Struthio camelus: one gene and its partner. The protein of the gene in region 1 interacts with the protein of each later gene in a pairwise test. Links are inferred from orthologs where the notes say so. Each region holds a gene or a part of one and is shown on either strand. Other genes may lie near its edges.

What was found.
Region 2: the proteins of FURIN (region 1) and MARCHF2 interact in a protein complementation assay, tested with the Homo sapiens proteins (2 studies listed by BioGRID). The link is inferred for Struthio camelus from reciprocal best matches to the Homo sapiens genes FURIN and MARCHF2.

The regions. Positions count from the first base shown.
Region 1 is NC_090953.1:489,072-503,261, forward strand, and holds the start of FURIN (furin), read left to right. Parts: upstream 1-7,614; 5' UTR 7,615-7,629; intron 7,630-8,085; exon of another isoform or gene 8,086-8,170; intron 8,171-10,507; 5' UTR 10,508-10,715; coding exon 10,716-10,895; intron 10,896-14,190. Other genes in the region: MFAP1 (microfibrillar-associated protein 1), read right to left, coding at 119-248, 849-1,068, 1,169-1,247. UniProt on the Homo sapiens protein: Ubiquitous endoprotease within constitutive secretory pathways capable of cleavage at the RX(K/R)R consensus motif. Mediates processing of TGFB1, an essential step in TGF-beta-1 activation.
Region 2 is NC_090967.1:784,036-799,177, forward strand, and holds the start of MARCHF2 (E3 ubiquitin-protein ligase MARCHF2), read left to right. Parts: upstream 1-7,404; 5' UTR 7,405-7,671; intron 7,672-7,915; exon of another isoform or gene 7,916-7,990; intron 7,991-8,257; exon of another isoform or gene 8,258-15,142. Other genes in the region: RAB11B (ras-related protein Rab-11B), read left to right, coding at 1,566-1,711. UniProt on the Homo sapiens protein: E3 ubiquitin-protein ligase that may mediate ubiquitination of TFRC and CD86, and promote their subsequent endocytosis and sorting to lysosomes via multivesicular bodies.

The DNA of each region.
Region 1 (14,190 bases):
CAAGTCCTGAAACTCCCTAGTTTCACCAGATAGCCTTTTCCACACGTACATGGGTTATTCCAGCCTGTGTCATTCAGGGGCTTTCTTAAGCCAAGTCTGTTCAGGTCTGCAAGCATACCTCATCATCGATCTCTTCCTCTTCCTCTTCGCTGGTGTCCTCCCGTTCGAGCCGCCAAGCTTCTCCCTCCACCTCTGAATCGCTGTCTCCAACCACTTCAGGCTCCACAATTTTACGGTGTCTGGCCAGCCTGTAACAGACCCTAGTTGAACTACAGCACTTTGAGCGTAAAGAGACCGCAGAAAGATGGCTATTTGTGAATTGTTCTTAATGAGGCCATAGTAAAAACTGGAACGACTGAGTCTGGGAGTGAAACAGCATGTCCTTTCCTAAAAGGCAGGAGCAGCCAGGCAGTGGCTTTTCCTCCCCATTTGTGTTTTTGGTGGGAAGCCTCCCCTTTACTAGTGCTGAAGGCTGAAGTACCTCTATGGGGGAAGGTAAACAGTGCTCAGATACTTTCTGCCCTGAATACGATTCAGATGAAACCATATCTTCCCGCTAGCCTAGAGAGGTGTCGCTGTGTTAATTTTTATTTCAGAACCCGCTGTTCCCCTGGGCCAGCCAAACCGCTCCTGAACGCGGGGCTGCCGTGACCCTTGGCTTTCAGGGGTGCTCACGGCACAGCGGCGGCCCGCGGCACGATCCAGCACCCGCGCCAACAGCGCTGGAGACCGCTCCCGCAGGGCTGGGAGAGCGCGGCCGTGCTTGGGTGACGGTCAGCGGCAGAGCGGGGCCGGAGGCAGAGGCTCTGGGGAAGGCCGGGTCTCCTCCGGGGGCAGGCGCTGCTCACCGCTCCTCCACGTCCTCGCTGATGCGGTTCTGGAGGCGCCGCAGCCGCGGGTCGTTGGCGAGTTCCTCCTCCTGCTCCTCGGGCTCCACCTCCTGCTCCTTCGCCTTCTTGATGAACTGGAACTCCTCGTCCTCCTCCTCCGAGGACTCCATGGGCGCGTAGTCGGGCCGCTTCCCCGACACGTACCGCTTCACCTTCACCTTCTCCATGGAGAGCTCGCCTGCGGGCGGGGCGGCCGTCACCGGGGCCCGGCCGGCCGCCACCGGGCCCGGGCTTCCCCCCCCCGCCGCCGCCGCCGGCCCCCCCGGTGCCCCGCTCACCCTTCTCGTTGCGGACGGGCACGGCGCCCGCCGTGGACTGGATCGGCGGCTGCTTCATGAGGGCGCTGGGGACCGACATGGTGGCGGCGGGTCGGGACGGGACGGGACGGCGGCAGCAGCGGCGGCGGCTCTGGCGGCGGCGGGCACCCTCCTCCCCCGGAACCGGAACTGCGGCCGCCCCCGCTTCCGGCGGAACCGCCGCCTCCCGCCCCCGCGAGCCGTTGGCCGGAAGTGACGCCACTGGCGGCGGTCACTTCCGGCGCGCCGGGGCGGGGCGGGGGAGCGGCCGGCGGGGGCGGCTGCCGGTGCCGCCTGGGGCCGGGCCGGGGGTGCTGCGGGCCGCGGCGCTGGGCCGCGCCGCCCGGGGGAGCGCCCCCCGCGGGCCGCTGCCCCCCGCCGCCGCCGGCACCCAGGCGACGGGCGGCGTCGCGCCTCGGCGGGCGGGGCGGGGGCGTTCGGCTGCGCCACCTGCTGCGTGTGTTTTCCCCGTGGTCCGCCGGGCGGCGGGGGGAGGCGCTGGCGGCGCAGCGCGGGTGCGGAGTTGCCCCGAAGGGCCCTCTCGAGCGCTGGGGAACGGGGGACGCGTGAGCAGGCCTTTCCTGCTGGCCGGAGCTTCCCTCGGGCCTTGGGGCTCTGGCCCTCCGCTGCTCGGGCTGCGATTTTCTTGGGGCATCTGGTCGCCTCTTCCCTAATCCACGTCCTGGTGCTCAGGGCCTTTGGCTCTATCTAGAGTCTTGGTCTCCGCCTGCTGCCAGCCTTTTGGGTTTCGAATTATTTGCCCGAGGTAGTGTCGCTCTAGATAAAGCACACCATCATGGGGTGAGAGATGACTGAGGCACAGATGCTCACGGCCCCCTTCTTCCAATTTAGTGACTGAACTCTGAATGGAAAAGATGTTCAGCCCGTGATGTAAGTTCCTGCTCCTTCTCCATTTGTGCAGCTAAAGTGGAGATGATGAGCAGCAAAAGCAGAGCCAGCAGCTGCTGTACAGCTGTATGGATATTGGATGTCAGCGGCTCCACGGTGCCACCGTCCCTCTAACTCCTGCAGGGTCTTGCTGAGGCTGTGGGACGCATCCTGTGCTTGGTGGGGCTGCAGAGCTCCTCCTAGCACGGCCAGGGGAACCTGTTGCTCTTTGGGTGGATGGTAGGGTCCGACTGCAGAAGCTGCTGTGGGTTCAGTTCGTGCTGTGCCTGTTGCCAGCCACGCTGGGTCTTAGTTCGTGCTGTGCCTGTTGCCAGCCACGCTGGGTCTTGGGGTTGATGTCTGACCTGAGACAAAGCCTGGAGCTGTGAAGGTTTTTCACTGCTGTGTTGATCAGAGTCTTGTCCCGGGCCCTCCTGCTCTGTAAACTAGCAGCAAACCAAGCCAAGCAGGAGCTTCGCTGCTCGGGTTCGTGTCTTCCCAGGCTGCCAGGACGCCTTCACAGCTCCCTACGCAGCAGCGCTTCTCGCTGCAGCACCGTGAGCACCTGGAGGCTGACTTACCCTGGAGGAGCGGGACTCTCCTGCTGTTCTGTGGGGGGAGATGCTTCTCCCACTGCCACCACTGCAGAACCTCCTGGGGCTTTCCCAGTGCAAGTGACGGGAGGTTTGTGGCATGTGTGTGGCAGGAAGGGCCTGGGGGCGTGGCTGTTTCATAGCAGGGGAGAAAGATTTTCTGAATGTGGCAGGGTGCTGCCCACGTAAGCACGCATTCACCACGGTCATTGCCTCCGAGGAGGTGCTAGAGTTCACAGAGGAAAACGGCTGTTCGGGAACTGATCAGCTTGCAAGAGCTGCCCTGCTTTTCTGTGGCACGGAAAACAAGATTTCTGAAGTAGGGCAAAACTATGTCACAAACCACCAAGCCAACGTCTGCAATTTTGTGCTGCCTTGAAAGAAAGGAAGAGGTTTTTATCTTCCAGGAAACCTAGCTGCAGGACTTGAGCCAGTCTGCGACACATCTCGTAACAGGAATTTGGGAAGTGGGGAGGGATGAGTGCTGTGTTAGCCGTGCGCGTGGCAGGTGGTCGCCCTGCCCAGCCCCGAGCAGGGGCCCTCGTGGGCACGTTGCGGAGGCCACGGGGTGTGATGGGCATTGCTAGAGGTGGATGCCCAGGAAATCCAAAAGCAAGTGTGTTTTCCCAGATGGAGGTTCAGCGCTGGAGCATGCTCCCAAAGGAAAGGCAGCAAACTCTTCCTTTTGGTGTCCTGGGCTGCAGGCTGGGAGGTTTCCTCGTGGGAGGATGTGATTTAGCCAGTGCAACTTACTGTTCTGAGGGAGCGGGGTAGTCCGGGGTGTGGAAGGAAGCGGCAGAAAGTGGTTCTCAGCAGCAGCACTGCCCCTGGGTCCGGGCTCTGCTCGTCGGGGGCCGCGGGGCGTCCCAGGGCTGCTGCAGAGGTCTCCAGGCTGACGCTGCGGGGGATTCTGTCTTGGGGGAGCCTCTCGCCTTGTCCTCGGCCCCTCTGCGAGAGGCGGGGCAGGACCAGCTGGGTAAAGCGGCTCCTGCCAGCGTGGCTAAGGCCCTGGCTGCAGGCCGAGAGCGCGAGGAGGCCCCTGGGCCTGGGGCAGCGCCGCCAGAGCCAGCCCATCTCGCAGCGCTGGCTGCCTGTGGCCAGGGCATCCCGGGCGCAGCCCGTGGCGTGGCGCTGCGTGAAGGTGCTTACTGCAGCGCTCTTCGGTAGCTTTGCGTCTCAGACAATCCCTGTTTCTGCTGGCGAGACCCAGGCAGACCTTGCTGCCTTCGCAGGAGCCTCTGTGCTTACAGGAGCTGGGGGATTTGGCCAGCCTGGCTGCAGAGCTGCGAGAGGAGGAGGGATGGAGCGCTCGGGCAGGGCCCCAGTGCTGTGGGTCTCCCTCGGTGCCCTGCCAGCTTGCGGTTTGCCCTCGCAGACAAGGCATTAGTGGCTTTATAATCCTACAGCAACTGATGCCCAGGAATAAGCAAGAGCTCTCGGTGTTTCTGGCATTTACGTCCTGACGGCAATTGGAGCTCCAGGCCCAGCTCCCTGCTCTGCGTTTGATCATCTGATGAGATATTAATCTTGTGTGGTTATCACAGTGTGTTCCCACCTAATGAATCCAGTGTCACCATGGCAAGGAGTGAGCTTCAACATGTGACTCAGTAGGTGAAACAATTAGACCTAACTGTTAAAGGAGAGCTTGGGAATTGCACACAAAGCACATAATGTGCCATTCAGGTGGAGTTAAAGACCTCAGCAAACAGGGACGGGCTCTCCCTGGCTGGCTTCGGTTCTGGGGGACGGCAGAAGCCTGAAGCAACGGCCGAAAGCAGCCCGGAGCCCGCAGCGTGCCTCCTCTGCCCCGCGTGCCCTTGAGAGCCGCAGCCGAGCTGCAGAAACCGAGTGCTGGAGTCGCCTGAGCTGGTGCAGGGGGGCTGAGGGAGCCTGCTGCGGTGCGGCCTGGCCCTGCCCTGGCCAGGGAGAGCCAGCCCGCGCCGGGCCGGGAGCGGCGGTGTCCTGTCGCTGCTCCTCCCTAGCTGATCCCCTGCGGACAGGGCAGGCTGGCAAGAGCCTGTGCCTCCGGGCAGCGGCCCCAGCCGCCTTCCTCCGCAGACCAGGGACCGATGCCCCTCAGCCCCGGCCCCGGGCGCCAGCGGCGACGTGTCGGCCCCGAGCCTTCAGCCAGCCTGGCGGTCCGCACGGGGCCGGGCTCCGGCGGGGGCGGCGGCGCGGCGCGAGCCTGAGCTGCCCCTTCCCTGCGCTCGCGGAGCCGGGGTGCCGTGGGGCGGCGTGCGAGCTCGCTGCGCCCCGGCACCCGACACGGGCAGCTCCGTTCCCTGCTGCGTTGTCAACTTGCTGGCTAAAACCTCTGCCCGTCAGGCTTTGGACTAAATTTCTTTGTTGAGATCTATGAGCGACCCCCCATGCCTCACTGCAGCCTAAGGAGAAAAAGGGGGTCCTGCCCACGGGCTGGCACGGGTGTTTCCTGCGCGCGCGCACCTGTGTTCCTGTTTGCACTGCTGTTTGTGCTGAGACCCCCGACTGCGGCAGGGACCTTGGGGTGCTCAGGCCAGACAGGGGTGTCCCTTGCCGTGAACAGCGATAAGCTGTACACAGGGCATGAGGTGGCAGGGTGTAAAGCAGCAAAGCTGAAGAGGGGCGGTAGCACGGCGGGCTGCGGATTTGATACCTCGGCGGCCTTATGGCTGTTGACGGCAAAGTCAGAAGGCAGATAAAGTTACAGCCCCCTTCTGAGCCGCCACTGTTTGTGTCTGCAAACTGTACCGCAGGGCAAGGTCAGCGTGTTTGGGGTGGATCTCGAGAATCCCATGTGTGTGACCACAATAAAATGTTATGTCTAGGAGCGTGACTATGAATAGCGCCTCGTGAGCCATCGGGACCTTGCAGACGCAGCTCCAGCCCGGGGACTGCAGCCGCTGCAGCTCCGCACCCTCCTCCCGGCGCGCCAAGGCCGTCTCAGGAACCTGCTGGTAGCGTCCGGCAGTGAAGTGACGTGAGGTGAAGGGGTTGGAGAGATTCCAGAGGAAAGTGGGATCTGCACCCCGAGGTTTGGGAAAGGGAGCAGAACTGTGCAGGAAGGGGGGGCTGGGGAAACGTGTCCGCAGCAACGCGGAGGGCTGCGGACTCAGCCCCCCCCCTGCCGTGGGAGGGTTGCATGGGAGCAGCAGGCAGTGTGGCCACTGCGCTCTAAGTAAATATTTAGTTATTGATTTGGTCCCTCTTGATGTCCTCTCTGTGATGTTATTGCTGTTTGTTTGGTTTTCTCCTCTGTGAGGGCCTCTGTCCTTCCTCCGCTGCCTTTCCTTACGGGAACCCCTAGAGCGCTTCCCTGCTTTGCCGTCTCCGCTCGCCCTGTCGCTGCTAGGCGCAGCTCAGCTGCGGCCCCGTCAAACTCCCCGGGTCACCCCCATGCAGGTGCCTGTGGACGAGGGCGCTTCCCCGTCACTGCTCAGCCTCTCGGCAGCTCGGGCAGACTGGCAGTCGCCTTGCTGCTGAAGCTTGTGCAATCTCTGCAACCAGGACAAAATTTGACCTGATTTTTACATGCAAGTTGATTTCTATTTATTTTTGTGCACAACCTGACTGTGCCACGTAGAGCGTGTGTTTGATGCTGATGAGGGTAGGGAGGCCTCGCCCTTGCCTCGGTGTGGGCCCCGCAGGGGATGGTGTGCAGCCTCCGTGCTGATGGCACGCCTAGCAGGTAGCTGGCGGGCTGGCTTGCAGCAACACACTGCTGGTAGGATGGTCAATTAGGAATCACTGAGCAGAACAGCCAGCTCCTGGCTGTGCCCTTGAATGCCTTGATACATCCAAGGAATGGCAACCAAAATCAGTGAAATGTTAAAGGGGAAGGTTCATGGGTTTTTGCAGACGCTGTTGTGGTAACTACTTCATCCCCTTTCGCTGCTGCCTACAGGGGAACAGCAAAGGAGAGAAGCATTCAGCAGCGGTTGTAAGATCTGACACTAGCCCTGCTGTCCAGTTCTTGAGCAGCCTTCCAGGAGGGGCTGCTGGAAAGCAGATCCCATTCACACAGGAGGCCTCACCCTGTGCTCCAGGTGCTCCCAGGGTACAGGCATCATCTCTGGCAGGAGCAAAGAGAGGTCAGCTGTGTAATTCCAAAGCTAATAGTTTATGCAACAGATAGGTGCTTCCCGTTTGCCTCCCCTGGAGCACTGAGATAAGCATGCGGTGGTGACAAGGGGCCCTTTGTCAGCTCCTCTCCCCCAGCATGGTATGTCAATAAGATCCAGGTGGAGCAGCTCTGTCACCTGCCTGGGCACAGCCACAAGCTCCTGCATGATGTATCTGAGGATGCCCACAGGGGTCCGGGGGGGGAACAGCCTGTGCCACTCCTTCGCTCCCACTGCAGAGCTGTCATCGGATGTAGGACCTGCTTCCAAACCACGTGGACCTGGGAGACCCCTGTCTCCGTGGGCAGCTCGAGTCTTTGGCCGTGCATCAAGGAACTGGGACAGCGGGAGGGCCGCCAGGGAGCGAGCAGGGCCTGCCCTGACTGGCAGCACGCAAAGGACAGTTTTTCACGGTCCTGTTGTTGTGGTGGGGTGGCCGGTGATCGCCGAGCTGGGAGGGGGTGCGGGGCCGTGCCCCCTGGATGCGGACGACGGGCCCCGGGGGGGGGGGCAGCTCTGACTTACCAGAACTCAAGCGGTTTGTGTTTCCAGGAGGGACTTTTTGGGGACAGATGTCGTTATCACCTCGGCAATCTAGAGTTTCTGTTTCTGAAGCGATGTTAGAATCGGATATTTGCCCTTCAAAATTAACCTAGTTTAACAAAGAAAACTACCCTGTGCCAGATTTTCTGGGTTGTTCTCAGCATCTCAGTTTCCAAGGTGACTGTTTCCTGTACGATTGCTAATGCTTTATAATCTCAGTCATGATATCTAAGTGACTTCCTCCTCTTTGTCAGGAGATGTAAGATCTGCTCTTATCCTGGGCTTCTCTGAACCCCCTTCTGAAGTGCAGAGGATTCAGGTCAGTTCGGGCTCTGCTGGTTTTTGCTTTTGCATTGCTCTTAATGCGGATCCTATGCATGTGAGGGATGAAAGTATACGTGCACATGTATATGTTTTGAAGAACGACTAAAGCTGAAATGAACTGCAGTTCACTTCTCACCTTTTCTCCTTGGTGGGAGTCTGTCTCCTGAAATTTGAAACTAGAGCGTGATTGATTTTCCTGGTGTCGCTGCCTTCCCGGTAGTTTCTGCGGGAGGCTCCTGCGCGCCGCCCGGGGCCGCAGCCGTCGCGCCGCGGTCCCGCAGGGGCCGGCCGCGGAGCGGGTGAGCGGCGGGGCGGGACGGCACCGGGCGGGACGGGACGGCACCGTCGGCTCCCGGGGCGGCGGCGCGGCGGAGCGGAGCGGAGCGGAGCGGGGCGGGCGGCGGTGACGGCATCCGGCGGCGCCCGGCGGAGCGGCCGCCGCGCCGGGCCGCGCCGCGCCGCGCCGGGCCGGGCCGAGCCGAGCCGAGCTGAACCGGGCCGAGCGGGTCTGTGCCGAGCCGAGCTGGGCTGAGCGGGTCTGTGCCGGGTCGGGTTGTGCCGGGCTGAGTGGGTCCGTGCCGAGCCGGGCCGAGCCGGGCTGAGCGGGTCCGTGCCGAGCCGGGTTGTGCCGAGCCGGGCCGGGCCGGGCCGAGCTGAGCGGGTCTGTGCCGGGTCGGGCCGGGCCGAGCCGAGCTGAGCGGGTCGGGCCGAGCTGAGCGGGTCTGTGCCGGGTCGGCTCGGGTCGGGCCGGGCCGAGCCGAGCCGAGCCGAGCTGAGCGGGTCGGGCCGGGCCGGGCCGAGCCGAGCTGAGCGGGTCTGTGCCGGGCCGGGCCGGGCCGGGCCGGGCCGAGCCGAGCCGAGCCGAGCCGAGCGGGTCCGCTCGGGGCGGGGCGGCGGCGCTGACAGCTGCCGCGCGTAAACAGGCGGCTCCGCTCGGCTCGGCTCGGCCCGGCCCGGCCCGGCTCGGCTCGGCTCGGCCGCCCCCTGCCTGGGCCGGGCTCGGTCCGGGGCGGGGGCTGCGCGCTGCCCCGCGGCGTGACGCGGCGCCGCCGCCGCCAGACGGGCCCGGCCGCCGGCGGGACACAGCGGGCAGGGCCGCCCGCGCCGCGGTAAGGGCGCCGCGCCGGGCCGGGCCGGGCCGGGCCGGGGTTCGGGCCTCTGCGGGGCCGGGGGCGGCGGGGGGCGCGGGGGGCCGGGGGCGCCGCGGCCCCGGGCCGAAATCTGCCCCGCTCCCAGCGGGGACTTCGCTCCGGCCGCGCCGCGGCGGCCGCCGCCATCCCGGCTGCCTCCTCCGGGCCGCTGCGGAGCCGAGCCCGGCCCGGGGGGCAAAGCGCTGGTGTGGGGCGATGCCCGGGGCAGCCGAGCCCGGCCCGGGGGGCAAAGCGCTGGTGTGGGGCGATGCCCGGGGCAGCCGAGCCCGGCCCGGGGGGCAAAGCGCTGGTGTGGGGCGATGCCCGGGGCAGCCGAGCCCGGCCCGGGGGGCAAAGCGCTGGTGTGGGGCGATGCCCGGGGCAGCCGAGCCCCCGTGGCCGCCGCGCTGCCTCGCCGTCGTGTCGCGCCAGGCGGCCGCTCCGCGGGCCGGACCCCCTTGGCCCGGGGCGCCCAGCGCAAGCCGGTCCGTCCCGCCGCAGGCTGGGCGCCGCGCCGGGCCCCCGCGCAGCTCGGCCCCCGTGGGTGCCCGCGGGCGCCCCGCGGAAGCCTCCCGCCGCCCGCCCTGGCGCCGCACCTCAGCTCCCCGCGCTCCCTGGCTGGTTCCCTTCCCCGGCGGCTCGGAGGCTCTTTCCCCGCCGGGAGCTGTGGTTTAGGCCTGGCGTGATCCGGCGGGCAGGGCTCCCCTCCCCTGGGTGCTCGGGGCCTCGGCCGGCCGAGGCCCGGTCTGCGGAGGGGGCGGCCGCGTGGCTGACTCGCGGCGCGGTCTGCCCGCCGCGGGGTCTCCAGCCCGCCGCCGGGAATCGCTTCCCTGCCGGCCGGCGCCGCGGGCTCGTTGCGGGCCGAGGCCCTGCGCTGGCGGGAGGGGGGTGGCGTTCGGCCGGGCCCAGCCCCGTCTCCTGCGCCGCGTTGCTGGCTCCTGCCTTTCTTGCTCTTCCAGGTATCTCGCGATCCCTTTGGAGCTCGGTGTGTAGAGCCTCCCCCCGGCTGCCTTAACGCAGCAGGTTCCTTTGCGTTCGGTGGGGTCACCGGCGCCCTGCTCCCCACCCTGCCTTCCCGGTGGTCCCTCCGAGGCCGTGTGCGCGGTCCTGCAGCGCCCCTGCGTGCAGGTCCCCGCACGGAGGAGATGCACGCGTCCTCTATCCCGGTCCCTGTGGCTCTTTCCTGTCTGCGCTGGGATGAGTCACGCTGGTGTCACCATGTTCACGTTATGCTCCTGGAAGGGCAGAGCGGAGCCGTTGACGGCGACAGGCAGCAAGGCGCTCGCTGCCGTCTGATCGACGGCAGATGGTGGCGGCGCTCGGGGCTCGGCTGACCACATGGCCAAGGCTCTCGCCCGCTTTCCTCCTTCCCGCCCCTCGCTCTCCCCCGCCGCGGCCGGTCGGCCAGGTCCCTTCCCGAGGCGCCCGCGTGTCCCCGCGGCGGTGGGGCCGCCGCGTTGGGCTCCAGCAGAGAGGTCTCGGGCCGCCCGGAGCCGAGCCGCGGCTCCGCTGCGCTCCCCGGCCTGGCGCAGCCGCCGCGACGTCGCCCCCGGGGACTGGAGAGGCCGGTTCCCCTCCCGCTTGCTCCTGGCTTCTCGCCCAGCGCCGGGCGGCTGCGGAGACGGGACGTGCCGCGGGCGGCGGGCTGGGGCGGCGCGAGCCCCCACCGGCGCCCTCCTGCCCTGCGGCGCCTGCGCCGAGCCGGCCCGGGACGAGTCTGACCGCCCTTCCCTCTTTCCACAGATCCTGGTGCTGTCCCGGCCGGGCTGCTCCGGTACCGCCGAGGGCCCGGCTCGCTGGGCTGCGCCCCCATGGTCGCTTGGACGGCGCGGGGGCCAGCGGGGCGGCGCGGGGGCCGGAGCGCCTCGGGGCGCTGACGCCGAAGAGGCCGCCGGGCCCGTCGCTGCCCGGACCCTGGTGCTCCGCAGCTAGAGGAAGCCCCGATACGCTGATGGATCTGAGGTCCTGCTCGCTGCTCCTGCTGTGGACGCTGGTGGTTGCCCTCGCTCTGCTGGCCCGAGAGGTGCTGGCCCAGCGCGTTTACACCAACACCTGGGCTGTCCTCGTCCCCGCGGGGCCCCGGCAGGCGGACCGGCTGGCCAAGAAGCATGGATTCCTCAACCTGGGCCCGGTAAGCGCCCCTCCGCTCTGCCCCGGGCAGCCGGCGGCCGGAGCCAGCCCACAGCCCCGGTGCCCTTGCGGCGGCCGCCCTTTCGGGGCCGCGGGGCCGGGTCGCCGGCGTGGGCTGCGTCGGCTCCGGAGGCGTTTCCAGCCCCTTGCAGCGCTCCCGGCGGGAGCGGCGCCCAGGCGAGGGCACGGCTCAGCGCTGCCCGGCTTCGCCCCGAGCGAGCCGTCCGGCGGCGGCCCTGCGCCCTCGGCCCTGGAGCGCCCGTCCAAGCGCGTGTCAGCGGGTCCCGCGGCCGCCCGCTTTCCCACGGCCCGCGCAGGTGCCGTGTGCCGCCTCGGCCGCCCTCCTGGCGGGGTGGCGGGACGGGGTGACCGCGGAGGAGCGCGGCCGTTCCCGCTGGCGCCGGGCTGTCCGCAGCGCGCTCCCCGGCTGTGCCGCGCTCCGGGCCGCCGGCAGCTGGTCGCGTTCCTCGGCGGGTGCGGGCGGCGCTGGCTCCGCTAACGAAGGCTGCGGTGCTGGGGCGCGGGAGCCGCGGGGCCCGGCCGGCGGCCGGCAGAGCTGCCCGCCCATTGGGGTGGCACACCGGGCTCCGCTGCTGTCTTCCCCTGCCGGCAGGCCGCTTCCAGCCGCCCAGGGTCTCTTGCGCCTGTTGCTGGAGCGCGGTGAAAGCTGCCCGGCACCGCTGTCGCGGCCCCGTCGGCAGCGCTTTTCTTGGCCCGGTGCTGGGCCGCGGCTCGGGCACCGCAAGGGCAGGGCTCTCCGCCCTGCAGCCTCAGCTGCCTGGCCGGGCGCACGGCTCCCCCGCACGCGGCCGTCCCGGCGCAGCCGCCGTCCCGGCGCAGCTGCCGCAGGGAAGGGCCTGGGGAGGTCCCGCGGCGCTGGCGCAGTCGGAGCACCGCCGACGGGGCTGCCGCGTGAGACCGGCTGAGCCGCCGGTCAGGACCGGGTGTTCGCCGGCGCGCCGCGGGGCGGGTGGGGGGCTGAGGGGGCCGGGGCGAGCGACGGGCCGCTGCTGTCCCCGGCTCGGAGGCTCTGCTGCGCCCTGGCAGCTGCGCTGGCTCTGGCAGGAAGGAAGCTCGAGGTGAAATCCCAGAGGAAGTTGCACAACTCGCGGCTGCAGTGTCAAGGCCCTGCTGCGAGCCAGCTGCCTGCGAGCGGCCGCGGGGCGGGGAAGGTGGCCGCGTCGGGGCGGCTCGCTGCCCCGTCCCGGCCGCCCCGGGCACGCGGGGAGCCGCCGGGCAGCGCCCGGCTCTGGGGTGTCCCGGGGGCAGGAGGGGTGAGCGGCCAGGCCCCTCTGCGGGGTCTGGCGGCGCCGGAGGAGCGGGTGGCCTCGGTCGGCGCGCGGAGGCGTCTCGGAGCAGGTCGCGGGGCCGGGTGAGGCGCAGAGCGACGCGGGGAGCACTCGGCTGGAGCCGGCCGCTGCAGAGACCGCCGAGCGCGGGGGGCCGGGCTGAGGTGAAACCAGCCTTTTTCTGGCTGCCCGAAGCCTTTCCCGGGCTCGGCCTCTGTGCCAGCCGCCCGCTCGGGGGCCGCGGGGGCGACGGGGCTGTTGGGCCCCCGCGAGCCGGCGTGGCGCGGTGCTGCACGCGCCTGGCTGGGCAGCGCCGGCCCTCTGCCGCGCCACTGCTGCGGGCTGGCACCTCTCCACCTGGCTGCCGAGCTGCCGGCCGAGCAGGAGCGCGCAGCACCTGCAGCGCGCCAGCCCGGGCTGGGATGGGAGGCGCTGGCCTGGGCACGTTTCCCCGCGCCTGGAGCCCATCCCAGCGCCCGTGCGGCAGGACCAGGCTTGGCCCTGGCAGGAGAGCCTGAGCGGCCCGCTGGGAAGAGCAGGGGAGGGAGGAGGCCGCGCTCTCCCTCCGGGAGAGTCGTCTGCAGCCGATCCTGGGGGTGTTTGTTTTGCTGGGACAGGATGGAGCAGCCAGGCTGGAGGAGGGAGGCGGAGGAGGGCTGGGTGCTTCTGGCAGCACCGCAGCGAGAGGCCCCGGGGTCCTTATCTCAAAGGATCCTGGCCTCGGCTCGGTGCCTGGACGCTGTCCTCGAAGGCACGCCGTCCCGGCGCGCTCTCTGCGCCACCTCTGCCTGCAGCGCCGGGGCGGGCGGACGGCGGGCGAGCGCGGGCGCTCCTCCGGCCGGCGTGCCGGTGAGACGGGAGCGCGGCCGTCGTTGCCGTGGGGCCCAGGTGGAGGAGAAGGGTCCCGGCGCTGCCGGCTCCGGCAGGGCGGGAGGCGCTGGGGAGGCGCACGGCCGCTGCCCTCGGGACGTCCCGGCCGGGTGCCGGGCAGCGCCGCCCGGCAGCACCTGCCTAAGCTGGACTCGCTGTTGGGACGGCAGCGAGAAGGGGCGTTGGCAGCCGCTGCGGTTCTTCGGGGTCTGGCTGCCCCTCTGGCAGGGGAGACCTGCGCGGGGCTGCAGGTCTCCGATGACCCCCTCCCTCCCGCCGAGGCAGCCCGCGGCTCCGCTCCCCGCGACGCGGCGGGGGAGCACGGCCGCCCCGCGTGGCCTGCCCGGGGGCTGCGAGCCGCGGCGGGGGCCGGGCCGGCGGTCACCGCTGCCTGCCAGGCTCCGTCCTCGCGAGCGCGGGCGCTGCCGGCGTTGGGCCCCGCGCAGAGCGGGTCGCGCCCGGCGACCAGGCAGAGCGGTGACGGGCCTGCGGGAGCCGTCGGGACTCGGCTCTTGCCCGGAGAGGGCGGCGGCGCGCTGGGCGATGGCACCGGGGCTGCTGCCTCCGCTGCTCCCCTCCGCGCGGCAGCTTTTTCCCTAGCAGTTCCCGAACGGCCTGAGCTGTTTGGTGTCGCGGGGTGCAGCGCTCCGTGGGGAGGAGGCCTGGGTCCGTCTCCGCGCTGCCCCGCGAGGCAGGGCTCCCCGGGCGCTGCGGCCGGCGGCGCTGGCAGGAGCAGGGCGCGCGCCAGGGAGCGGAGAGGCGGCGGGGCGGGCGCGGGGCCTGCCGGAGCGCGGGGCGGTGCGTCCCTCGCCCCGCGGAGCGCGGCCCGGCCCTGGCGCCGGGGCGCCTGCTAGCGCCGATCCTCTCCCTCCCGGCTTGGGCCGGGGCAGCGGCGCGCGGCTCTGCGGGAGCGGGGTGGGCAGGGGCCGAGCGCTCTTTGGAGGCCCTCTCCCTCGCGTTGCACTGGCCGGCCTTGCCGCGGGCGTCCGCCCCGCGTGCCGGCAGGGACCGGCCCTTCTGTCGCGGGCGGCAGGGTGGGATGCGCCACTCCGCAGCCCGGCCAGCCTCTGGGGTGTGCCGAGGGGAGACGGAAGTGACAGGGCTGCAGAGGGTTTATAAATAACCAGCTGGGAGGCG
Region 2 (15,142 bases), on another chromosome or scaffold:
GGGCTCTTAAAGAGTGCTAAGACTGGCCAGTTTAGATCCAGTGTGGATGTAGCTAGTAGGGCTTGAATAATCCTTAAAAAGCTGTTTCTAAAGTGACTGCCTGAGGGAGAATCATCCTCCCAAGGGAGGGAAAAGAAACTTGAGAAAATGTTCTGTGTGGAGCAGTTAGTTGGGCGAAACCATGAGGAGCTGGAAGGAAGGAAGGGAGTGGGAGCAGCAGGCCAGGAGTTCCTTTACAGGCTTCAAGTTTGAGGGAGTCACTAAAGACTTTAAAAACAAACAAAAAAAACCCTAATGGATGCTACCCCAAAGAAAGGAGGGCTTGCTGGTAACTCTGAACAACTAGCATTAAAATACACCACTGAGCATGAAAGAAGGGGGATGTGATAATCTCGCTACAACTCTCTTCAGCCCCCCCGCCCCCTTTTTTTTTTTTTTTTTTTTTTTTTTTTTTTTGCTAAAAGGGCTGAAGGTGATCAATGGTGAAGAGATCAGTATTGGGTTAAAGGCTTCCATTTTAACCAGCGTAAACATGCTTGGCCCCCCCCCCCCCCCCCAAAAAAAAAAAGGGAGGGAAAGGGGCAAAACATAGCAAAACCAAAAAGAACCCACAAACGATCTCTCATGAGTTTTAGCAACAGCCAGTGTCTTTATCAAAGACTGTTTTGAAGCTGTGGCTATATGAATATGACCGTCATATTTACTGCAGACTTCCAGGGGAGGTACTTGCCCTTTTCCTGTCTCACAATGGAGGGAAGTTGGAACACAGGCTTATACTCAGTGAAATAAGTGATTTAAAAATATTTCAACTTGAATTATTTCTGCTAAGCATGCAACTGAAATGGTTTATTTCTGAAAGCTTCTAACCTGGCAGTCTCTCTGCAGCAGTTAGTTTTGTGAATCTCTGTGCTTTCAGGCTTAAACTAATAGGGGTCGAAGAAATTAATTCTCTCAGAAAAGGCATTGTTGGATCAATATGGAGCTTTATGGAACTATGTGTGTTTTTTTTTTTTTTACTGCCACGAGTGGGAAAACCGATTTGTTTCAGAGAAGAATAAGCATTTCTGTCATTCGGTAGTAACAGTTTGCCAGAGGCTAAAGTGTGAAACATACTGATGGAAAACCACTACTGCGGGATGATGTTTTGCAAGCATCCTGTTGATTGGTGTTTCTAGATAATGATGCTCTGTTTTATCAAAAATATTATGATTTCCTCTTTTAGAAATGAGCGTTCCTGCTCCTTTATTGTTAAAAAGCCTTTTAACAATGCCCACGTTCATGGAGTTGTTGAACAGAACGTTATGGGAAGAGCTGTTGTGAAAGACAGTAAAGAATCTTGTCTTTTCCAGGACAGAGAGAGAATATCCATTACAGAGCTAGTAAGCCAGCCAACTGTTACGTTCCACGGCTGGTCGGACCAGATTCCCTCTAACAGCAATCCACTTACCTTAAATCTCCTCTGTCCTGGGTTCTACCGTTCTCTTTGACAACTTGCTCTGAGATTTGCACATCCTCCATTAGAGAAAATGCTCATCTGTGCTCTAACACGTCTGTTCTCATTTCAGAAATCTACCGCATTGTTTCACAGAAGCAGATTGCAGATCGATCTGCACACGATGAGTCTCCCGGCAACAATGTAGTTGACATCAGCGTCCCACCAACCACCGATGGACAGAAATCCAACAAACTCCAGTGCTGTCAGAACCTGTGACCTCCTGTAGATGACTTTTGTGCCCCTCACTTCGTCTGTGCTTCATTTAGAAACTTGTGTGCACTTCTTTATCTCCTGTGATTCAGTGACTCCCTCTTCCCTCTTTCACCCCATCCTCAAGCCCCTCCTTTCATCTTAGAGCTTTACTTGTAGGGCTAACATTCTCCTGCCTCTGAAATCCCCTTAAATGTGATGACTTTTGGGCTTGAAATATAGGCACTGATCTGATAGACATGTTTTGTGTTGGAACATCTGCTGCTGGATATTATCCCATGAAGCACTCTTCTCAAATGGTTTTGGTTTTTTGTTTTTTTGTTTTTTTTCTGAGAGAGAAACCATGGGGACTTGATTATAACAGTTGAACAAATAACTACATTTAGGTTACAAGGTTTTTTTCCTCTCGTAGTCAGATTTTTCTCTCATGTCTCTATAAGCACGGGGGAGAAATTAGAAGAAAATAGCTGTCCTGCCAAATGCTCTGTTCTCTCTCCTGATAAGTCTCACAGTGAGGTTTTTAGTGGCTGCACACATAAGAAAGCTGTTGAAAATAACATTACTTATTATGTAATTACCCCTAATACAGTTAGTCTGGCTGTGTAGTTTACTGTTTTCTGCTTGGGAAATTTTTCTCTATTCTTGTTTTATTTGGGAACAATGAAGTACGTCTGCGTTGCTTTCTCTGCCACCATGACTGCCTGTGCTGCTTGTTCAGGCTTTATGAAGTGGCTTAATATTTATTCATGGCTTATGTTAATCAGTTAATGTTATTGTACAGTAAGTGCCAGCATATTGATTTCAAAAACCTTTTGCAACCTATACAAGTAGGCTCATTTTGTACTGTAGATCAGTGTCTGAAAGCAGGATCTTCTCTAGTTCAGAATTCTTTTGCATGCTGCTTCTTCTCTAGATCTCTCCTACCCCTGTTTGAGTGAGTGAAGCAATATTTTCATGTCATGTATATACCTGCACTTGTAAGGGTTTTGGTTGTTGTAGAGAAACACAATACTTTATACATTTTGTAAAACTTCTGCAGAACCATAGCATCTTGAACTTTCTTTTCATGATCTTTCACTATTGATCTTGTGCATAATCTTCTTGACCTCTACTAAAAGGCATATTAAGATTTCACCTACTATTAACCTGTTGCTTCCCTCTTACCCTGTTTTACTGAATTGCAGACTGTAATTCTCAAAAGATTGTAATTCACCTGATGTAACAGATTTGTCATCAGCAGGGCTAACTGCTATAATATTTTGTTTTGCTGAATGGGAGGAATGTTATCACAACTTTGTGTAGTAAGTCTCTTGCTAGCTTGTGAAAATCCTCTATGATGATGGCTTTTTGTCATTCACTCTTTACACCCTTGCATCCCTCCAGTAAACACTGAATGTTACGATGAGGCAAATACTGGGGGAAACTATCTCAAGGAAGAGTTGGAGACCATCTGCTGCTCTCTGGAGGCTAGTGAAGCAATTTGCAGTGAATTTTTGCTCTGTATTCTTCCAAATTCTGAGACTGTGCCTCACTTGATTAATACTGTCTGCATGTTAGTGAGTTGATTTTCTTTTCTGATACAAAGCAAACGTGAAACTGTAAGTTGTGCTTGAAGGGGAAAGCTGACATTCCACTCAACTGTTTTGTGTCTGGTTATGTAATAAAATGAAGGGCGGTTAATTCTGATGGCTTTTCCTTTATAAGATTTCTAGACCAATGCCTTTAATTTTGTACTGTATGCACCTTGAGGGCTGTAGTTCAAAGCTAAGGGTGTACACATCTTGCTTAGCATTTTCAGTTTTCAACTTTGTTTAGAGGATAGGTTCAAAGTAAAGGAGCGCATGCTTTGCAGCCTAATAGCATTGAATGACGATCTGAATTCTTCTTTGGGTGCCACAGGGTTCTGCCCTAAGGGAGTCATAGTATTGGAAGCACTTTCAGCACCTGGTACTTAATTTAATAGCATCCTGTTGAGAAAGGTTCAGCAAGTGGGAACTGGAAACTTCTCCTTTTCGTTGGTCATACAAACAGGATGTGATATGTAGTCAGTACTTAAAATGGTGGCAGGTGAGCACAACATCAGAGAGAGTGGAAATGCTGAGATATTTCAATATTTCCTTCAAGAACAAGTAGTCACTAAAGGAGGCAGGCTCCTTACTCTTAATTTTGAACAAAACTTTGTATAGAGAAATGAGTTGGGATAGTGTGAGGAAGAATTGTGCAGTTAAGACTTAGTCCAGGGTGACTTAATGCATTTACTCTGCAAATCCTGTTCTTAACATGAAGCTTTTGTGCATGAAGCTCTCTGCTGGTGGCTAGGATTGATCTGAAATGGTTTAAGAAGCCGAGAAGTAGTTTAATCAGTTCCTGGTCTATTAAAAGAAATTTTCTGTAGACTTTTCCACAAAGTCAAAGACGAAACTTTGCCTCAGAGTTGCAATGAAAGGTTCACGCCTTGGGCTTAAGTGCTGTTAGATTGGATGGGTATTGAAGAGACCCTGTACAACTTCACCATGCATTGACCAAAGCCGCCTTGGAGCAAGTGGCTCTGTGAAGTTGAGGGCGTTAGACCCATACGCGCTACAATGGTTGAGGTGTTTCTGAAAACTGTTCTGTGATTGACGTGGAAGGCCTGCTGTCTTTTGCTGCAGAGCTGTTTATCTTACCGTGGATTGGTCTGCTTAGGATGTGGGGAGCATACGTGTATACGTGCATGTGTGCACATGCAGAGGTTTTGTGAGTGCTGTATGCTAAGTGGTGGTTTTATCTGCCATGGTCAGTCTGTTTCTTAGAATAGGTATTGATTCTTTCCTAGATTGCTTTGCTGCTTTCCAGGCAGTTAGAGAAGCAGACCTCCTTCTGTGAGTTTGAGATGATTTTGCATATACTAAGCACAGGGATAACAGTGCCAAAAGAAGACAGTGGACAGTTTGTTTTTTCCTGGGAAAACTACATTCCTGTGCACAAACAGGGAAAAAGTTTTTGATCTTTTGATCCCTGAATATCCTAATTAAAGCACTGTATACTTAACAGAAGCTATAGCTACAACCAAAACCACTACTGGTAACGGCTGCTGCAGTTGTGCAGGGAAGACTCGGAGGAGTCCCAAGGGAATGCTTAAGAGCTGTCTAAAAAGAATTTCTCTGATAGGCCACACTCTTTACCATGCTTTCCTGACGTGGAAGCAACTGAGTTAAAATGTAACCTCAGCTGGACTGCTTGATGTCATAATTTAGCTGGCTCCATATCTCAAAATGTGTCAGGGATATAATAAAGGCTCCAGTTCTCTTAAGCATGTTGTAAGAAGCTTGGAGGCAAAATCTGGCTTATGGTAAAACCTCAATGACTAGAAAGCTGCCTGTGAAAGAAAAACGTGCTATACTTACTTCACTCAAATATTGATATTTTTCCTAAATTTTGAAAGATAACACTAAAAATTGTTGCTTACCACCCTGGGTTAGTAACGTAGTAAATGTTAGTTGAAGATCCCTGCTAGGACTGAAATTAGATCCACCAATGCAGAAGATAGGTGTATTTTTTGCTAATTCCCCTTTTAATTATGGGGAGAGGAGAGGCCAGAATTAACATGTAAGAGATTTGCTGCTGAGCACACAAATAGGTAATCTGGTTAAATAAACTCATTGGGGAGATTGCCTCAATTTAGCTTTTTTGCCAGTTGAGTGAAGTGCTTACAAACTGCTTCTGTGACACTAGGTGAGTTAAGGAAGAAGTTTAGAATCACCTTAGAGCTAGCTCTCCTGTAGCCCCCACAGGACAAGAAAACTTGGATCGGAGGAAAGTTTTAAAGCACTGTGATTGTGTAAGTATAAAACTGCAGTTGATGGGGGTCTGCTGAGGCTGCTTGATGCTTTATTGAAGAGAGGTGTGTGTGCGCGCCTCAGAGGACCATCAAAATTGGGTAGAAGGAAAAGGAACTATTATCCCTTCTTCCCACTTCAGCTGCTCCTCAGTGCTTTGGCCAGGTTAGAAGCAGTAGAATGACTGCTGTGTCCCAAGATCCCCAGCTTGGGTGCTGTGATATTATTTTGCTAGATCAGTTCTAATAACTGCACAATATGTAGAAAGGCTGGTAACTTTTGTGCTAACAGGAGGGAGCTCTCTCAGCTGGACATACCAGGATGCTTAGGATTAGTCTGTGCCTTTTATTTAAGCAGGTCACTCACCAAAAGCAATTTGATCAGCCTGGAAAAATGTACAGTAGGTATTTTGACTTCCTGATGCTTTGATTCCTGCATGCTGTACAGTTCCAAAAGTTGTGGATGTGATCTGTTTGTGGGGTGTTTGGTTGATTCTTATCTGTGCTTGGTGATAAGTTTTTTTTTCCATTCCAAGCATGAAGGTAGAATTTGCTTAGAGGTTCTGATCTGTGTAGAAAAAAATACTAATGAAGTGATCTGAGCACTTAAGGAGGCTCTTTTCCTTCATATAATGTGAAGAAAAACAGTATTAAGGGTAGGGGCCTGAATTTCAAATAAGAAAAATCAGGCAATTAGAGGTGAAGACTAACTATCCTTTAAGATACAGTGGGTCAGGGCTGAGGCCAGATTCGTTTGACTTTTAGACTCTGAATACAGTGATACTGCAGATAATTCAGTTTCAAAGGTGATTATTATAATGTTTCCATGGAAAAATAGTATCTCCAGGGCTGCACTGTTTCAGTAAATAACAGCAATTCTTATTTTAAAACAGTCAGATAATGTGCAGTAGTGTTTGTCTATCAGGCTTTATAGGCTATATATAGCACTGGACCTTTATGCAACCCAGAAGAGAGATTCCTTTCATTTACTTCTACTCCTGGTTCCTATTCAGTTAAGTGCAATTCACTTTGTAAATATATACATCACTTGATTTTTGTGCATGGTTATTATGTATTGTGGATATAAAGATTGCCAAATCATATTGTGTGTGTAAAGTTCTGTTTCAAACCTGACTGTAGAATGAAGTGGGAACATAACTTTGGCTTTGGAGCCAGTAAGTTACCACATCCAAAGTGCCATAATTGATATTAGCATTAGCAACCCTGCCATTGCCAGTGGCTGGGGGGGGGGGGGGGTGTGGCAGGGGGGTAGTGGAAGTCAAAGCATGTTATTAATGACCTTTGGTATCCATTACTTGTAAGAGCAGATGTTCTCAAACTGGTTCTTCCCATTGTCTCAGTATGGCTTCATTATATGCACATATTTTTTTTTTCTTCCCTTCAAAATGCAAATGCTGTCCATCCAGTTGGTCTTTGAAGGTCTTCCTGGTGCCCTCTAGTACCTGGCCTGGCAATACGAGTGCTAACTCCAGTGTCTGCTCAGGAGGAATGAGCACATCTAGTGCAGCTGCAGGGAACCGAGGTGGGATTGTTGCATTCATGGTCTTCCATGGAAGGATGGTGTAATCTGGCCTTGTTTTAAGTTATCTGCTCTTCTAGAGACAAGTATTTAGAATAAGGTTGATCTGAAGTCAACACTGACTTAAGGTGCAGGACTCGAATGAGTTGTGCACAAAGGGGTTAAAGGGGGAAGTTCAAAGATTTCTTTGGTAATTCCCACGTGTGAGGAAGAATCCCAACTCCTAGGAAGCCTCCTGGTGAAACCCCAAGTGGGGAGGGAGGCTACAGTGGCCCTGACACGCTCCCGCTTGCTGTGTCATGCCTCACCTTGGTCAGATGATTTGGGCCTCCGCCTGTCCACTCCCCTTCCAACTTCGCGAAGCTCTGGATGTGCGGAAGAGGAGGCGCAGCTCGCCCGTGACCAAGAAGTGGGGAAAGCAGCTGCCCTCCGCCCCTCGGCTGCGGGACCGCGCCGCGCCCGCCCCCGGGGCTTCCCCCCTCCCTTGCTTTCCCGAAAATGTCGCCGTGGGGAGCCCGGAGCAACCCGCAGATGACGCTACCGAGGCCGAAGCTCGCAGAGGGCAAATGAAGCGTTGTAGCTGCGCCAGTGCCCGGTCCGGCAGCTGCGGTACGGGCCAGAGGGGGGAAGCGCCGGCCCGAGCGGCGGCTGCGCCCCGGGGCCGGGCGGGGCGCTCCCCCCCCCCCCCCCGCCGGGCCGCTATTGGCCAGCCGCTGTTGCCAGCGGGGTCGCGTTCCGACGCCGGCCGGCTCCGCGCAGCCCATTGGGCGGGCGGGCTGTGGCGTCAGCGCGGCGCGGCGCTCGGTGCGCCGCCGTGACGGCGGCCGCGGGCGGGGGGGGGGGGGGGGGGCGGCGCCCGGCGGCCGCAGGAGCCGCGCGAGGCGGCGGCGCGGGCCGCGCTGAGGGGCCGCGGGCGCCGGGACCGCAGGTAGCGCGCGGGGGGAGCGGGGGGGCCCGGCCCGGCTCGCGGCCTGCCCGCCGCCGCCGCCGCCGCCGGCAGGACCCGTCTGCAGCCGGGCTGCGCGGGCCGGCCGCTCTCCGGTGCGGGGCCGGGGACGATGCCCGGGCTCCGGGGCGGGCGCCCCCTTCGCGGGCGGCCGGGGAGGCTCCCTGGCCGCGGGAGGGCGGCTCGCCGCCGGCCTGACGTGGGAGAGGCGCGGGCTCGGGGTGCGCGGCGCTGGGCAGAAACGTAACCTGGGGGAGGGAAGGCTGGGAGCTGCGATCCTTTATTTGTCTGTTCCTCTGTCTTTTTTTTTCATTGCCGCGGCTGTGAATAATTATTTTTGGAAAATGTTTCCTTATAATTGGGGTCTCATGTTTTTCCTCTTTTGGAAAGACCTAGCGCGTGTTTTTGCCCCGCTGCGTGGCGTGACTGGGGAGGCAGCGCTTGCCCGTAGTGCCGTCTCGCAGAGCGAGCTACAGCGATTTCCCACGAAGCGCGGGTCGGTGTCGCAGTAAAACTGAAGAACTTCCTGCGAAAGGGCTTCGGAGCACCGGTTTTCTCCCTCTGTGGCATGAACTTAGAGTTTGTAATTGACTTTTTTTAAATTGGAACCAGTAACTCTCTCTGTTTTGCTGAAATTAGCCTTCTTGAGGCAATTTAACTGCTAGTGGCGGAGGCCAAGGTGGCTTGTTTGTGGGATTTGTCCAAGGGATGAGCTTGTGGCTTGCGTGCGGGAAGGTTGATTGTGGCATTGGAACTGCTTTTCTCATTGTCTCAACCATTTACTTGAGCCCATTTTCTATCTAATGGGGAGATCAAGATTAAAAACCAAAAAACCCCTGCAACGGTCCTTTGGCTGAGACTTCTTGCTTATCTGTGCAATTGCCTGGCTAGTTGGTAACCCACAGAAATGGTGCTCACCTAAACGCGGCCTGACATATCTGTGCTGTAGGAAGTTATCACTATTGATGAGCGTTAAGGTTGTTTTACAGCTTGTCATCTCAGAGCAAGTTGTGCAAAGCTCAGGGTTTTTTTTTTTTTTTTTAAAAAGAAGATGAGATGGTTTTGAAGTCAGGGCTGACAGTGACTTCCTGGAAATGCCAGGGTCATCTGGAGCAGATCTGGCATCGTCAGGTGTGTTTGTGTTCAATGTAGTTATCCCCAAAGTGTCCGGAGACTGGGCTGGCCTCTCCTGAAGGGTGTGCAGTGAAGATCTGTCAGTGGGGTCCCGCTCCTCATCACACCCTGTACCCTTTATTTGCTTGCGCTCAAAGGACTGTGTGTATCCGAGCTCCTCCCCTGACTTGCCTCCCCAGCTTTTCTCCCCTCCCTGTTACCAGTCCTTGTTTCAGGCTTTCATTCTCCCATTCCGCTTTCCTTCCAGCAAAACGCTTTTCTCTGTCTTTCCCTTCTGAAATAGCTTCTAGCATTTTCTTAATCTTCTAGACCTTTTTCCAGATTCTTGTCAAGAAGGCCTCTGACATGGTGCTGCTGCAGGTCAGCTCCGATGGCCGTGGCCAGTCCCCTTTATCCACCCTGCTCTTGGGAGCGTACAGCCCTGCCTGGTTGTCAGGCTTACACGTGCACCAAGTAATCCTTCGAACAGCTGGATGTTAGCCTTGTCTTTCCAAGGCTTAAGTGTTTAAGGATTATGGAGGCAGCTGCAGCGGAGAGGGGAGAGTAAAGCCCTGGTTTTCCAGGTGCATTTGAAACTATGACAGTACTTTCCCCTTCAGAAAGGGGTTTGAAGAGAGAGGAGCTGCGACTGGGAAATCCCTTTGTCATGTGCTCTGTACAGTGAATTTAATAACTCAAGTTGGGAACACAAGGCTTAGCAACCCACAAGCATGGACCGTGGAGCATTACAGGCCAGCCTGCGTCAGAAAGGAAGTCTTAACTTTGCCAGGTGTGGACCAGGTGGCACAGGAAACAGCCAAGCATGTGCTTAAGATCTATACCATGAACGTTAAATATCAGCTGTAAAATCGGGATCAGAACAGGTACACTGTGTGATTAGCTAATCGCACTGCTGGCAGTCTTTAAGAAAACATATGAAAACAGAAAAAAGCAATAGAACTAATGATCTCTTGTTTCCAGCATGCTTGACTGCCTTTGTTTCCAGCAGAATTACACTGAGGTCGCCCCATGTTGGACACCAAGGAAACCATGCAGACGAGCAGTGTTATGAATGTACTAACTGCAAACAACTTCTGTTGGAGTTTTTTGCTTTAATAGATGCCAAAAAGGGGGCTTTCCCACTCTAGGTTATTGATGCTGGCCTGAGTCAAGCAAGTGCAGGACACAATGCTTCCCTGAGAAGAAGTTAATCAAGACTCCTCAAAGCAGCAAGTACAAAAACAACCCAAACCACTCCTAGCGCAGGCTGGGAAATGAAGAGATTGATGCTCGAGGTGGCCTCTGAGGCCCTGTTAGTCATGAGGGACTGTTACAAGTCCTCAGTCTGTGGCTTTGTAGTAGTCCCACTGGCTGAGCTGCAAAATATCATGAAAAAAAAAAACAACTGAAGTTACATTAGTCTTTAAAATATCTTGACTTTTTATACTAAAAAAAAGCAGAACCTTAGAAGAATGAAGGGAGGAATCAGGCGTCCTGAACTGTAAACTACCAGATGAGTTTATTTTTCCCCTGCTTGACTTTGACTCAGCTTTGGATGTTTGGAGATCTCGGAGTTTCCATTTTCTAAACTGCTCACTTTTTTTCCTCCAGAATAAAGTTCATAACTGTTGTCTTTTTAGCCTCTTCCCTCACCAGTTTTATTTACTCGGTTTAACTTACACTTCTGCATGCTCTTAGTGCAAACTCTTACCACGAGAGAGGAATGATCTCCGTTTACTTATGTTTGCCCCCTGGAAGATACACTAACCACTTCTAGGTATCCTTGTACAAGACAAGTCGTATGACAAATAAAGCTGTGGGTTTCTTTTGTGATCCGAATCAATGTTATGTTAGCCAAGTGCTTCAATGAAGTTCACGTAAAATGGCTTTCCTGTGTAGGAACTATACAGGACAAAAGCCTAAACTATAGCCTAAGCTGTGCTGAAGCACAGTTCATGGCTTATTGGGAAAGTTAATGTTATGCACGTGAGTAGCAGGTTTTCCACCTGTCCAAATGTAGGCTCTCATGGTCTTCCCTGCTCTCTGGTCTGCTTAAACTGTGGCAGTACCATTCCTGGGCGGATGCTCTCACGCTTGCCCTGTTGTGTTTATACCGTATTTGCTGTTGGACCATATTGTGGCTGCAGCTCATCAGTGTCGCAGCCGTACAAATGCCAAGAAATGCAGCTCTGCTGGGAGAGGTGGTTACCCACTTAACTTGAGTATTTGGGAGACCACTCTGCTGTTTTATTTCACTGCATAAAAGTGTGGGGAGATCCTGCCTTCTTACAGTTTTGATCACTTTTTACTATGCTGGAAAATGTCTTTTCATAGCTGTACTGGTTACAGGTTATAAAAAGTCTGAATGCGATGGTAAAATGCAGAATAAAACACATCCTCAAGGCACAAGCTGACAAAATATCTCTGAGTAGGAGCTGAACCTTTCATATCCACTGGCAAAGAGAACAGCCTGACATCAGGTGTACCAACCTTCTGGAGCTCTTCCTACCTGCCAGTCGTGCAAATGCATTATTTGCCCCAGACCTCTCCAGGATAAAGAGTGTTACAATTGATTTGAATTGAACTGTGATTTGTCCCCGTTTTCAATCAAAACGTGCATTTGTAAATTTGCTTTACTTTCAGATGTTAAGTAGCAATTTTAAGTAAACTTCTTAACTTTCCAATTCCTGATCTAATGCAAGATGATAACATGTGGTTAACCTCAGGGGCAAACATAGCTTAGCTATTAAACATGCTGTAGCTGTTGTTGCAATTTTAATCAGTTGACGTGAAGTCATGGTGACAGACTGGAGAAAATGTTCTCCTGCTGTCCTGAAAATTAAGATATTTTTTAGAGGGGGAAGGAGCAGTATTGGCTTGGGAAACACAGCAAGCACAAACAAACAAAATGTAGTTTCTAAAACACCTCTCAGAACTTCAAAGAGGGGAATGTAGGAAAGCTCTTGCAGTCTTGGCTTTACCACCTGTTGCCGTAGAAGTTTTGATCGCTCTAGTCCTGTTCTAAGTACAAATTATTAGGGTTTGGGTTTGTGAGAGGGGAAGCTGCTGTCAGCAGTTTGCAAGGTAAGCTACAACTCTGGACTCTCCTCAACCTTTTTTCCCCCGCTCCCAATTTTTCTTGTACTTCCCTGCAGACAAATCAGTCAAAGCCTTTGCTTTCAGAAGAACTGTGAATGCAGCCTAAGCAAAATCTTCCAAACTGAATTGGGAAGAAGAGAGAGACGGGGATTTTGCAGCACTTTTGTGAAGTTTTGCTTCGGAGTTGAGGGAATTTGTAGTGATAAAGAGTGGGTAAAGGGAGGACATGGACTAAATCAGTTAAGATCAGTTAATCCTGTTCATTGACTGACCATGCAGGAAGAGGATGCCCAAAGTTCATGCCCGCTTTGGAGATCTTCAGGTGCGGATGGATGGAAGGGTAGAAGGCTATGGCAGTGCCTTTACTGGAAAGCTAAGTGTGCTAAAGAGTACAGGGAACTAATTGGGTTGCAAAATACAAACAGGCAAGTTAATTTGGGATCAAATATCTCTGTTACAGGATTAGTTTGCTGCCTGGTTTTGAATGGGGGTTACATGCTGGCCGCATACTACTCTGAGCAGTTGGAGCACTCTCTTGTTCTGAGCAGGGTTGCTGCATGCTGGCGGATGGTTTGTTCCAGTTTGTCTCCAGGCAGAGCATAGTTATTTGTGTAACAGTGTACATGGTGCTTTATAAACCAAGAATGAGAACACTGAAGCAAGTGCAAGTTCTTCCTGGCATAGGATTGCAGATCCTGAGAAAATGTTTCGCATCCTTCTGAGTAATCCCCTTTGAGGGAGTGACCTGTCCAATGTTGTGTGGGCGTTTCTTTGTTGATCTGATGCATGTGTTATTGCTACAGTAAAGTTGATGTTTTCCCCTATATTTCCCAAAGCTGGAAAATTCATTTGCTTTGAATAAATTGAAACTGCCTGGCAGGTGACTGCATAGGACAGGGGAGCTGTTGAGCTTTGGCATTACTGCAGAGCCTGCCTCTCTCAACAGGGAGCTGTCTGAAGCTATAGGAATAGGAAGCCGACCTTTTCTTGCTCTTATTTCAGTAGAGGACATAGGTGCAAAGAGAAAGGAAAAGCCACATAACTCCAATGCCTTCAGATGGCAGCAAGGGTAGGCAGGAGCAGGGCAGAAAAGAGATGTGCTTGTGGGTGGTGTGGCAGGGATGTTTTCTCCGCTGATGGGTAATGCTTTTTGCAAGCATTGCTTTTTGGGCACAACAGCCAGGTATTTTTCCCCCTGGTTCATGATTTCAATGAAACTTTCAAGCCTGGCAAAAGCATCTTTTTTTTTTCTCTGCAGACAGAGAATGGTCAAATGCAGAGAGAGGTGGGCATGAAATCAGTATAATTTCATTTATGTCATGACCCATGTTGCTGTTCACTGTAAAAAACCTGATGCTTTCTAAATACAGTGAAAGAGCAGGTGTTTCTCATGTCCCAGCTGTTTTCAGTAGTTTCCTTTTAAAACTTGTTATTAAACTGGCTGAATGGCTGATTTCTGGTTGGAGATGCCCTCTGCAAAGAATTTTCTCCTAATGTTGCAATTCATTTTTCCAGATGTCGGTAATTAAAGTGTAGTAAACTTTCCTTTCACATGGTCTCATGGCAGATAAAACATCTCAGAAGATCTGAGATTACTTTGTTCATTTTGGCGCTGCAGCTGTAAGGCATGGCCTGATCTTTTCCAAGTACAACTTGCAGCAATAAAAAAAATCATCCTTTAGGCTTCTTATTTTTTTACTGATTTTCTTTTCCCCAGTGTGTAAGCTTCAACCTTTTGCTCCTTTTTGAATATTAAGTAATATAATATATTAGGCAATATACTTCTAAAATGAAGTTTCTTTGGGAAATAAGGAGGTGAGTGGCATGAGATGTTCCCTGAACTCTGGGGTAACAGGAGCCCTCCTACATTACAGCTCTGCTGTGTTCATACAAGGCTGGGAAGGAAGCCCACCCCTACAACGTTGTTTGAAAATTAACGTTTCTTCTTTGCCAGTTGCTAGTTTGCCAGTGTTGCAAGACATTGATAACATACGGCTGGTTGATCAGGTAGGCTGAAGGTTTTGGAGAGGAGGGATGTGTATGAATGCATACTTTGGGAAGTTACATCATAAGGATCATGAATGCTCGCTATAATATTTCCTTACCAGCAGAGAATGTAAGTCAGATCCTGGCAATCTGTCTGTTTGAAAAAGAAAAAAAATCACATTCTTTGGAATACTATCTTCATCTGTGTTTGGAAAACAAACTCACTTAGCATCAAACCATAGTCTAAATAATCAAGACTTAGGACAGCCTTTGGAATGTGTCTGAAAAGTGGCCTGATCTAGAGACTGCAAGTTTTGATCATTTGTCCACAGCAAAAGCCCAGTAAGTGAAGGCTTGTGCTACTGTTTCAGGACTTCTGAATTGTATTTATGACAGTAGTTGGAAGGCAGCTGGGCCAGGCCCTTATAGTGATAGGTAACGTAACCATGTAACAAAAACAGGAGTCCCAAAAGGTTGTTCCCTATAAGCTTCTCATCCCCTCTGGATGCTGGCTTCATGGTTAAACTTGGAGCATCTTATGAACTTTAGAAATTCAGCCATAGGGATGAGGGAGGTAAGCCCTCCTTGGACAGTGGTGTTACTTTACAGTGCACTCAGTCTATAGCTTTTGCTTATAAAGGTGTAGGAAGAGGCTGTTCCTGAAGTCAAGCTTGATTTTTTAATGGCTTACAAACTCCAGGATTTGGTCCCTTGGATGTTTTTTTTTGTTTTTTTTTGTTTTGAGCCTTGGGTCACGTCTGTCCTGTGACTATCTGATTCACAGCGCTACTCCGCTGGCACTGCCTGAAGAGCAAGTTAACGTTGAAGTTTTTACAGCACCTCCTTGAACTCTGACTGTCAACCAAATGTTGCGGACGAGGCAGGAAACTGAGAAGCTGCCTGGGAGTGAAATGCTTTCCTGTGCATGTTATCCAC